3 linked regions of the Oryzias latipes genome follow. The protein of the gene in region 2 purifies or fractionates together with the protein of the main gene of each other region. This does not show direct contact. Links are inferred from orthologs where the notes say so. Each region holds a gene or a part of one and is shown on either strand. Other genes may lie near its edges.

What was found.
Region 1: the proteins of cbx5 (region 2) and znf462 purify together in Homo sapiens (affinity purification with mass spectrometry; 3 studies listed by BioGRID and IntAct, counting the BioPlex papers as one, with this or other methods). This does not show direct contact. The link is inferred for Oryzias latipes from reciprocal best matches to the Homo sapiens genes CBX5 and ZNF462.
Region 3: the proteins of cbx5 (region 2) and activity-dependent neuroprotector homeobox protein purify together in Homo sapiens (affinity purification with mass spectrometry; 4 studies listed by BioGRID and IntAct, with this or other methods). This does not show direct contact. The link is inferred for Oryzias latipes from reciprocal best matches to the Homo sapiens genes CBX5 and ADNP.

The regions. Positions count from the first base shown.
Region 1 is NC_019870.2:9,245,389-9,249,141, reverse strand, and holds the start of znf462 (zinc finger protein 462), read right to left. Parts: upstream 2,867-3,753; 5' UTR 2,754-2,866; intron 1-2,753. UniProt on the Homo sapiens protein: Zinc finger nuclear factor involved in transcription by regulating chromatin structure and organization. Involved in the pluripotency and differentiation of embryonic stem cells by regulating SOX2, POU5F1/OCT4, and NANOG.
Region 2 is NC_019865.2:12,831,558-12,835,310, forward strand, and holds the end of cbx5 (chromobox protein homolog 5), read right to left. Parts: intron 3,224-3,753; coding exon 3,123-3,223; intron 2,384-3,122; coding exon 2,242-2,383; 3' UTR 474-2,241; downstream 1-473. UniProt on the Homo sapiens protein: Component of heterochromatin that recognizes and binds histone H3 tails methylated at 'Lys-9' (H3K9me), leading to epigenetic repression. In contrast, it is excluded from chromatin when 'Tyr-41' of histone H3 is phosphorylated (H3Y41ph).
Region 3 is NC_019865.2:4,529,118-4,532,770, forward strand, and holds part of activity-dependent neuroprotector homeobox protein, read right to left. Parts: intron 1,775-3,653; 5' UTR 1,770-1,774; coding exon 1,662-1,769; intron 670-1,661; coding exon 577-669; intron 484-576; coding exon 1-483.

The sequences.
Region 1 (3,753 bases), on a different chromosome or scaffold from region 2:
TGCTCCATGCACGGGGTGTGCACGTGATTTGTAAGTACCTGTAGGATGCCCACACAAACTGCTAGGCTGGGCACTTTATCACGTAAACAGCACCAATGCCCCCTTGTGCACAGGACATGGGGGGAGACACACCTGCGTCTCACCTACTCCCGCCTGACTTTACCCTTGGGCGTTGTATAAGTCTTTGCTTTAAACTGTTGTTCGCAGCATGCCGGTAGAAAAAAGGAGTGCATGAACATTTTCACTTTACAGGATCACAGAGAGGTCAACAACCTTGATATTTCATGCGGGCCACCTGTATGCCGCATGCAGGTTTGCCCATTTTTTACCCCCAATCTATCCCTAAAGGGCAGTTGGACTAAGGCTTAAGACGATAGAAATAAAACTATTAGATCACATTGTTACTTAATGGCTTCTGACAGTGGCCATAAACAGAGGAGTAAAGAAGAATTGGCAAAGCGTTAAACTTCAGAAGAGACAGCAAAGCAGGAAAAACGCACAAATCATAACAACTCAAACCACATCTTTATGCAAACTGGAACTCCTTTGGCATCCATAAACCTCAATAAGCAACCTCTATTAATGCTGAACTCAATGTTTTTAGAGGAAAAGTATTAATAAACACAGTTTATGATCAGAAAGAGGATAAAAAGGGTCAATTTAGGATAATAAAAAACATAGCAGATAAATGCCTACTAGCTTGTAATAGCCTGTTACTAATCTCTAATAATATAAATAAATGATTGAGAAGTCTATGACTGTGTGACGTTTGACTTTTACACATCCTTGGTAAATATTACCACACAGATGTGCAACATTCGTGCACATAACTGGAGGACCTCAGGTCCCCAAAAGCCAGGAGGTTAACCCCTCAAAAAAACCTGGAATCTCATGGAGCACCTGCTTCAAGGACACGCAGAGTTGAGGTAGACTTGTGAAAGTTACTGCAGCTGGAGGAACGCAGAGAGCTCAGCACGCAGCAATCACTTCCACATCTGAAAGCTCATTTGCACAACCGCCGGCAGACTGGATCCACTGTCTGCCTGACAAATGTGTCAGCTGCAGCAGAATCCTGATCGGTTGTCCTCCACCCCGCTCCTCCTCGAGAACCTGTCTGCTCAGCTAAGGCAGGAGGAAGGAGCGCCGCCACCATTTTGATTGCTCTTCCCAGCCCCGGTATTGTCGCAGCACACTGTGTCAAGCTCACAGCCTCTTTGTCAGCAAGATTTCACAGAGTGGCCAGGAGAACTGCAGAGCACGTGCACGCACGCACACACACACAGCATGCACAAACACCTCCTTCACTTCCCTGCCAGGCTTGGACACCTTCAGGACTAAACATGTGAGCGCCTCACTGCAGTGGACACAGGGCGCACTACAACACACCGCTAATTAATACTATTGATCGAAATAACTTTTAAAGTACTCAAAAATCAAAATAAAAGCACCAGCACCTCTAAACGAAAACCAATACCGAAGAACCGCTTTTATTTTGAAATTTTAAAGGAGATGCAAGACAAAATGGGAACCTTCTTGAGAACTTCTCAAAAGGAGCAGTTGTTACTTCAGCCTTGCATGCTCATGACAGATGACTGCGTTCTGTTGACACTACTTGGTTGAACATTAACCACCTCGTGGCCAAAAAAACACTGGTCTACATTAGAATTCCAGCCCCATCTCCAGGTTCCTTCAGCCACCAAGGTTTTCCAGCCCAGACCTGGCAAACCCCACTCACCTATGTGAATCCCTGTTTTTAAATAAAGCTTGGAAACACTTGTACCCCACTTTTATTTTAGGAGCTCCCTGGGGAGGGTTGAACTTCCCAGAAGGATAGGAACGGAGAGGAGGAGGAGGTCGCGCTTTTTTTCTGAACCTTTGTTCTGCTGTGGGTGCTCCTGCCTGAGGTTCTCCTTGGAGACTCATCTGCTTTCCTCCATTTTATGGTGGAGCTCTGTGGTTGTACCTGACTGGGGAGCTGTGACAGCGAGCAGGCAGCGCGCGAGGAACGGCGCGTGCGCGTGTGTCTGTGTGTGTGTGGGGGGGGGGGGGGGGTCACACAAAATGTAGCCACGAGGACGAAGAAGCTAGCGATAATCGTTTAAAGGCAAGACGGACTAAGCGCGCGCGCGACTTCACGAGACACCTAGCCTCTGTGGTCAGAAATAAATAAATAAACAAATAAGCTAGAGGATAAGGTTTCAATAAGAAGAAGAAAAAAAATCAAAGAGATGGGGGGAGGAGGGGGTGTAGCTTCCTCACACAGGCTTTCATGGAGACTGGACCAGAGGCTACAGCAGCTCCTCTGTCGCTAATGGAGTCTGCTTCAACGGCTTCTTCATGAAGCTAGTGCTCCAGCCGGACAGGGGACGCGCGGTAATTCCCCCCCTCCTGTCCTAGCCGGACATAACAAACCCCCGCTGATGAAGACAGCCTCCTAACACCGTCCATTTCCTTGAGTCACTTTGACAACAAACAAGAGAGGCGACATAGCGAGGAAGCCGTTGGGTCAGGATATCAGGGGGAAGCGAGAAGACCCACTTGACTCTGACTGCATGGGTGCCAGTCAAAGCGGCTAGAAAAATCTCCCACCGACTTCCTCGTCTGGACCTCGGCTAAAGCGCTCCAGGTCATTCACGAGGCGCTCTCCACGCTAAATCCCATGATCCACCAAACCCGACGTTCTCGCAGACCTTGACGAAATCTTGCCGAAACTGGAAATAGAGCGAGAACGGAGGCAATAAAAACAAACTCACTGCTTCAATCTCCTCCTCAAGCGATCCTCCCGAAAGTTGTCCTCGTATTTCATGCGTGCGCCCGGTCGGTCTAATGGATGATCGCCATCTTTCCTGCTTCTCCTTTGCTGCAGCTGCAGATGACCTGAGATCCGTCTGTCTCTGAATAATGAGCAACCACACAGACAAGGAAGACAATCTGCAAAGCAGGCTACACAAAGAAGTTTGGGAGACTAGCAAGCACCAGAGGGTGCACAAGAGTTTACGACGAGACGAGGGAGCATCAGCAGGATGGACAACGTCTGTGGCCGAGAAGCTCATCCTTCATCAAGACTGAAGTCAGATGATCTGCAAAGCCTTATGAGCGGCTCAAAGCAGCAGCAGACGCGCGCGGCCACACCGAATTTTATATAGGCTTGATACTATGGTTGCTACGTCATGAGGTTATCTGCAGTTCACTTTGGAGGAGATGCATCCATCACTGGATAGATAGATAGATAGATAGATAGATAGATAGATAGATAGATAGATAGATAGATAGATAGATAGATAGATAGATAGATAGATAGATAGATAGATAGATAGATAGATAGATAGATAGATAGATAGATAGATAGATAGATAGATAGATAGATAGATAGATTTTTTTCCATCAATACTTTTTTTAATTCAAATAAAGTAATAAATATTTAAATCAATCTTTCTCCTCATTTATTTTGTGTGTTGTGACCACCATGGCTGCAGACTGTTGTCCAGCAGCTGCAAACATATAGAGAGGGGGCCCCAACACAAAAGGCGTGGGGTTCTGCTCAGATGTGGGCGCCTGAGGGGGGCAGAGCAGCAAGAAGGGGGCATGCATGGTTGGGTGGCCGAATGGCGAGGAAAGGAATGGCCAACCTGGCTTGCACAACTGAGCAACGACAGGATCACATCATGTGGGATCACTGTCTCATTTGGGATTCATGGAAGTTTGATGAGGCAGTTCCTTAATAGTCTGGAGCCTTTTTTTTCTTTTTATTAA
Region 2 (3,753 bases):
TTTCTAATTTTAAAAATCTAAAGTGGATTTTGTACTATTTCTATAATGTGCATTAAATCAATGGCAAAACCTTAGCTGTCCAATTTGACATGTTTCCTCACTGATTCCTTTGCCGCCTTAGAAGAAAGGCTGCCTTTCAGTGTTAAGTTGTACATGTTTTACAGGGTGTGCGCCGTGTTTGCATGCAACATGTGAATGTCAGAACACAAAATGTGCCCATAAAAAGTTTCACAGAAAAATTGTACACATTTTGCACACAATGATTCTACTGGAACCTGAAGAAAAAAAAAAACACTTTTGCGTTGGAATTGGTTAATACTGCCCTCTGCTGACAAACGGCAGTAAATAGGTTTTTGATGTGTGATTCTAAAATTGCATTAAATCTATAAAGTATATATATATATTTTTGTCAGTTTGCAGGGTAATGTTATGAAAAATGTAATTTATACTGTAAAACGAAGTGAACACATGAAGACCTTGAAACACTCAAAATGTTTATTAAAGGATGCTACTATACATGTATACTTGGAACATTTCTCTCACACAATAAACTACTGACTTTAAAAAATGTATATTGTCAAAAGGTAAATAAAACCCATATTTACATTAAAAAATGTGCTGGCAAGGAAATGTATGGGTAGTATCAAAAGGAAGATGACAGCATTTCTTATCAGTTAAAAACAAGCAGTCTGTGAATCTGCAGACATTTGGTCCAATGCTTCTCTGCAGGCTGCAAAACCAGTTTCAATCTTCAACAACAAACCATGTATTTATCAGGGTTAGTCACCTTAAAATTCAAACTAATGAACAGGTGATAAGGAGCTATTCAAACAATATTTTTTGTAATTCATTAAAACTACTGAAGCTTTTTAGCAGGGGGAGCATGGAAAAAGAAATGCAAATAAATAAATCTAGTCTTTATTGTTGACCACAGTATTAATTTCAGTTATCAAAGTGGCAGCTAAGTTTCTCCTTTGAATGCTAGCTGAATTTTATTTTGAAAGGGCGCAAGATCACACAATTCATGCAAATTAAAAGTAAAAAAAAAAAAAATCATTCAAACAATGATTGGGATATGATTAAAAGTACAGAATGGAGAAAAAAATGTCTTTATTGTATTTTTTCTTCTTCTGGCAACACTGTCAAAAAAAACAGAAAGAAAAAAACCGCAAAACAATCATTTGACGAAACAGCACAAATTAAAACCAATATACATCACTACACAGACGTGCACCTACATGACTAAACAGGTGCACCAGTCTTCTCAACTGCAGGCCAATCCAGCTGCCATGTCATTAATTCAGCTTTCACAATTATCATAGTTTTTACATTTAAATTTCATGAAGGTGATCATGTCCCTTTTGAAGCATGTTATGGTGATGGATGTCAAAACATGAAACAGATGAATGCTTCAGGAAGATGAATGATCAATGGAATCCTGAACATCAGATCAACATCTACTCATTGGGACAAATATTTAGGATTTTTTTCTTACCTTAATCTGAAACAAAAATATTAAACTACAACAAAGAGAATTGATGGCAGAGTAGACGTCATGATCAAATGATCGCACATGTTTGAGCGTTTGGTGAGAGTGGCCCTGTTAAAAATTACCGGTTACAAATATTAAAAAAAAAAAAAAAAATAGAAACAGTGGGGAAAACGATTATTAAACACGTTTAAAAATGAATCAGGTGTGATATCTGCTGCCTAAAGGGGTAAAAAAAGAAAGATAAGTGAATAGCTTCAACATTTTCCTGTCAAAGAAAAGATGTGCACTGTTTACAACACAATGATGGGGATCGGGAATTCCCCCCTAAACCGTCAAATCTGGTACTTGGGTCTGGATTTGCAACTTTAACAGATGGCCACCAGTAATAGTTTCTCCAGATTTCTTCCTAGTAACATTTTTATGCAAGCACTTTAAAAAACAGGGAAAAGATAAAGACAAAAATGTTAAGATATTACAAAAAAAAAAAAAATCAATACAAAAACAGTAGAAACATTGCCCAGTAGCATATCACCCAGGTCCACTAACAAACAGCTTTCTATTTGATGGATCCTTTACAGAGTCTGGGCCCTTGTGCTCAATGAGGCATGAGTGGAGAAAACAACAAAAGGGATGCACTGTTTTTGTTTCACTGTTGGACAAAGTGAGGGATGGAAGTTTGGGAGAAGGAAAACAAAAAGTCCAACAGAATGTTTTCCCTGCAGTGGAGGTTTCCTCCAGAGGTGTTGCACTCAAGCACTGACAGCATCCTTCTCCTTCTTGTCACCGTCTTCGTGCCAGGTGAGGCGCTCCTCGTAGAAGGCTATGACGATTTGTGGACACTTATGATTGGCCTCCTTGGCAAGAACAAGATCCGCCTCGTCTGAATCTTTCCTAAAAGAGGGTAAAGCTTGAAATATTTTTGCACCACACTTCACTAACTTAAGTCCAAATAAGGCATTGTGGGATTTCATAAACAAGCTGTAGGCGGTTGCACTCTATCCTAGTCTCTGTGAAATGGCATTTCACTGTTATATTTCTAAGAGGTTCATTTACACTGCAATTTAACCATGTATTGAGACAGCATCAAGTGTTCTATCATAAAACCAAATAAAATGGGTAAGTTGGCAAGACAAACTTTTCATCTGGTGCAACAAAGGTATAGTCAGACTTCATCACAGGTGTTTTTATTTGTTCTTTCGCTCTAGGATTAAAACTGATCACAGAGAATTTTCTATAAATCATAGCAAATGAGAACAATTCTAAATTCATGATTATTTTTATGGATTTGTAAATTTATTCAAAGTAAAAGTATCAAGTCTGCAACTCAAATATGAGTCCAGAACCAGGCATGAGTGATGGTGCACTGCGTATATCCATCTAGGTAATAAGAGATAACATTAATTTTATGGTTTGGCTTCCTGTTCATCTATGGACAGACAGCCCGGTTACTGAAGTTTCTAATGGGTGATTTGCCCAGTTAACCGACACAGTCAAAAGCCTTTTTTTTTTAAGAGTCATTCCCTTCCATGTTGCAGTCAACAGTAAAACAGTCTGTGGTGATTGCACCTAGCGGAGCAGCAATTTCACACCAGATCATCATAATCATCATCATCCCAACAACAAAACTTACCATTTCATGAGGAACATTAAGTCTCCGCATGAATCAGTGGCTCCAATGATTTTCTCTGGCTCAAGTCCTCTTTCAAAGCCACGGGCTACTAGAATTTCCTCCTGTAAGAAACAAAGAAAAAAAGTTCAAACCTGAGGAAATGTTTAAAACTGTTTGTTTTTGTCTTTTGATTCTGTGCTTTAACCTCATATTTACACTTTACTGCTCTACTGGACAAATGCCGTCAGATATTTTATTGAAATTCCTTCTGTGTATAAACAGATTAATACTTTGCTTGTTTTTGCGGTAATCATTTTCAATATGTCTTATTGGTTTATGTATTATAAACAATTTTTTAATCCATGTCTAATTGATTTTAGTTTCTTTTAGCCCCCCAAATATTACTTTTATTGGATTGTATGTAGAATTGTGCTGAAAAGGCTGATTATTTGTACAAGGTGCAAAATGACAGAAGTAAAGCACTGAACACATACAGACAGATTGAGCATGTTGACATGCACATCAACTAGTTGATCGCCTGACTTATTGACCTTTTGTAATTTTCAGGACGCCACAAAAACAGGATGCGAGATCAAGACATGTGGATTTCTCAATGGTGAAGTGTACTGGCACATATCAACAATTGTATCTT
Region 3 (3,653 bases), about 8.3 Mb from region 2:
AATCTGGTTACTGGTAGCATTGTTGGTCTCTGGACCCCCCAGGGTCCCCCCATTCTGGGCACCTGCTTTTTCTCCTGGTCTCACGATATAGGGGTGAGCCACTTGCTGAAAGTGTTCCCGATAGATGTGCTTTCGTACCACATTGTACAAAGGGTCTCTGTAGGTGCACTTTTTACAGTAGTACACCGCTTGCTCCACAGTGTCTCCGGTCCTCCTCAGCAGACCATCCTTCATCATGACCCCACCCGTGCCTGCCACCATCCCACCAGGGGTCTGCCGCGCGGCGTTGTTGGGCATGTGGAAGAGTTTAATGTGCGTTTCCAGAGTCTTTTTATTCCCGTTGAACGTGCAGTAGGGACAGTTGAGCAGGATGTTGTTCTCAAAGTTCTCGCTGTGAACATTGCGAAAATGGCTCTTGTACGCCGAGAAGTACTTGGATGAAAAGAGGCAGCCAGAGCAGCAGAAAGGCTTTGATCTGTAGTCCTGGAGACACAAAAATTCAAAAGTCTTTATTAGTTTTTTAAAACTTGAACAGAAATAAAGTTCTTAAGGTTCTGGTGGCGAGTCGTTACAGACCTGGACTTTGGTATGCGATGGTTCCCACATGCACACATCTTCCCAGCTTGTGTGTTTGATATAGACCTCCGGAGGAGTAAAGTCTTTAAAGTCCTAAAAGGCAAAGAAAGTGATATAATAATTTCATACAGATCCACAGAAAAATAGCACATATGTGCAAACTTACAGTGTCTAAACACATAATAATCTAAAACATACTAAAGTACAAATCCAGCTCCAGTCACACCTGCAACTATTCAAACCATGACAATTTTGGACATTTGTTTAAATGTAAGTGGAAGCTTTGATTCCTTTAGGATTTCATCCAGGGACCTTCTGGGAGACACTTGTGTCATTACAAACAGTAGCAAACTTGCTGGTTAAATAAATGTTACTTCTAGTCATTTGCCAGGAGTCTGAATCATTTCAGCCAGCACAGTCCCATTTTAGAATCCATTGCATATTACAGGATATTAGGAATTTTTATGAACGAGTTGCATCTTAAAGTTAACTGAAAAAGGTGTCAGTATAAAACAAAAAAACAACAGTAATGTACAACAACTTAAAAAGGAAAAAACATCAGTTTTTTCTTTAAATATTTACACCATTCTTTGTCATTTTAAAGTGTAGGACAGTGTCAAACATCTATAATTGTATTATTTTAAAAATGACTAAGGATTACAATCAAAACCCTTCAATGTTGCTCACTCATCTTTTATGGATTAAATTGGATTTTATCATACCTTTATTTTTGTGCACCACTTTCAGACAATTTCATTTTTGAATTAGAGCTTTATATTAAAAAACAAAACAAAATAGTATTAAATATATTAAGGAAAGATGAGTTTCTTTTTAAATGGCTGTTCAAGGTGTTACTCAAATTTGCAGAAACACAACCCCAAAAAGAGGACTGACGAAAAACACGATGCCATGTTAATACGCAAGACAAACTTGCACAACTCATAAAAAAGCATAACTGCATCCTTTACTAAATTTCGAACCATATAGGATCACAACCAACAGTCTAGAGGAAACTCTGGGACCTTCTACTATGTAGACAAAAGCACGGAAGTTTGTTATAGAACGTCCAAACTGAGCATGCTCACCTCCAAGTGATCCTTGCAGAACTCAAGGCCGATGTCTCCCAGGACCTTTTTGACATTTTTTCTTGCTTTTCGTAGACTGCTGAGGTTATTGACAGGGAGCTGGAACATTCTGCCTGCATGGGGGAGAAACGTTCATTGAGACGTCAGAAACACACAAGGTCTCAAACATAAAACAGGCTTTTTATTTAACAACTCCTGAGAAAAGGTTTTTAAATTAACATGTGTCATTGAATGAGTTACTCCACTTGTAAAACCCTTTAATTAAAAGTGCAGCAAAAGAACCTTTTTTTTTAAAGGAAATTTGTTAAAATGTGTGAGATTGATAAACACAAGTGCAGCAAAAGAAAAAAATAAATAAAATCGCTGAAAGCTAAAGCAAGTGTTTAACAGGGCTATGGCAGCTCACAGGAAACAGGGAAAACATACAAAGTTAATTTTTAGGTTTTCTTTTAAATGACACAGATTGTGTCAAAAATATCATATAAACTACTTATGAGATTTAGGTCAAAATTCACAGCTTTGAAAGGAGAAAGAAAAATCTAAATCAAATAAATTCTTGATGTTTTTACCTTTGCCTTCAGTCATGATCAAACCTTTTAGAGACACTTTTGCAAAGTCAGCTGTTTTGTATGGTTACAGTCAGGTGTCTGATCAACAAATGATACCGAACGGGTGCAGAAGATCCGCAAAACCTTGAAACCCAGTCATGAACCGAAACAGAAACCGCTGTGTAAAAGACTTTAAACTGAGAGAATAACAGCCAAACAGCTACCGAGGAGAGGCTGTGAAAGACATTTTCATGGCAAAAAAAGACACGAGGTAGTGTGTCCGCAAAAAAGCAAGGTCTCTCCCAGACAAAGGTTTCAAAGCAGACTGGGGCTCAAGATGTTCAAGCTCTTCTGAAGAAGTTAGTTTCCCAATACATTTGGAGCAACCAGCAAAGTTCCTTCAGAAACCGTGTGCAAGTGTGCCTGGTAGAAATGATGCTGCTCTGAAAGCAAACATTGCATCGATTAGATTTAGAACTTTCTGATGTTCCTTTATAGTATTTTGCAGATGAAAATAAATGATTACAATTTTTTGAATCCAAACTTGGTTTAAAGCTTTTTTTATGTACATGGATGTGTATGTACACACATAGATATTTATAAACCCACACAAACATGCAGGTGCGCACAGACACAGCAGTCTTTGCATTAGGGTTTTAAATAATCTGCAGATCATTTGCATACAGCATAAAGTGTTCCTGTAAACCCACCTGCACAGCCACTGGCTGCACAACTGGCTGTGCAAGTGGGGTTTTTAACAGAGGTTTTACCTTGATACCAAACCCAGATTCTCAGGTTTATAGGGCTCAGTTTTCCATGAGCTGGACAACCAATTCTGGCAGACATGCACAGCATGCGCTTTGTGTTTTTTAACTGAAATGAAAGGCGCTATATAAAGTTCGAGTTTGAGCAAAAGTAGCTCCCTTCAGCAAAACAACCGTAACAAACTGCAGAATGTGTCATAACGCTTCTGCTTCCCATTGAGATTGATGTTTGTGCTTATTGTTGATGAACAAAGGTTGGAAGAGAATAAATATTTAGGATAAAATAACTTTAAATTGAGACAAGAAAGGTGCTGAGAATCCCCTTTTGCCATTGAATTCTTGCAAACACAAATCAGTTTTAAATATTAAGAAGTGTCTACTTGTGCTGTAACGAAGAGAAACATCCTCACCTGGTGCCACTATTTCAGTTCAGTGTTGAATAGCTAACTCTTTGTGCAGACAAGAGAAGCGATACCCTCTCTACTGTATGCATGTCCACTTTAAAAGCAGTTTTCTCTGCAACCCTGCTGCTCCGAGCCAAAACAACAGCAGTGATCTGATTCCAATGAGAAGAAATCTGCTGCATACAAATATGATCTATAAATCTATCATAAAAGGTATTGTATTTTAAATTATTGCATTTTTTTCTGTAACTTGTTTAATTCCAGTGTTTGTGTCAC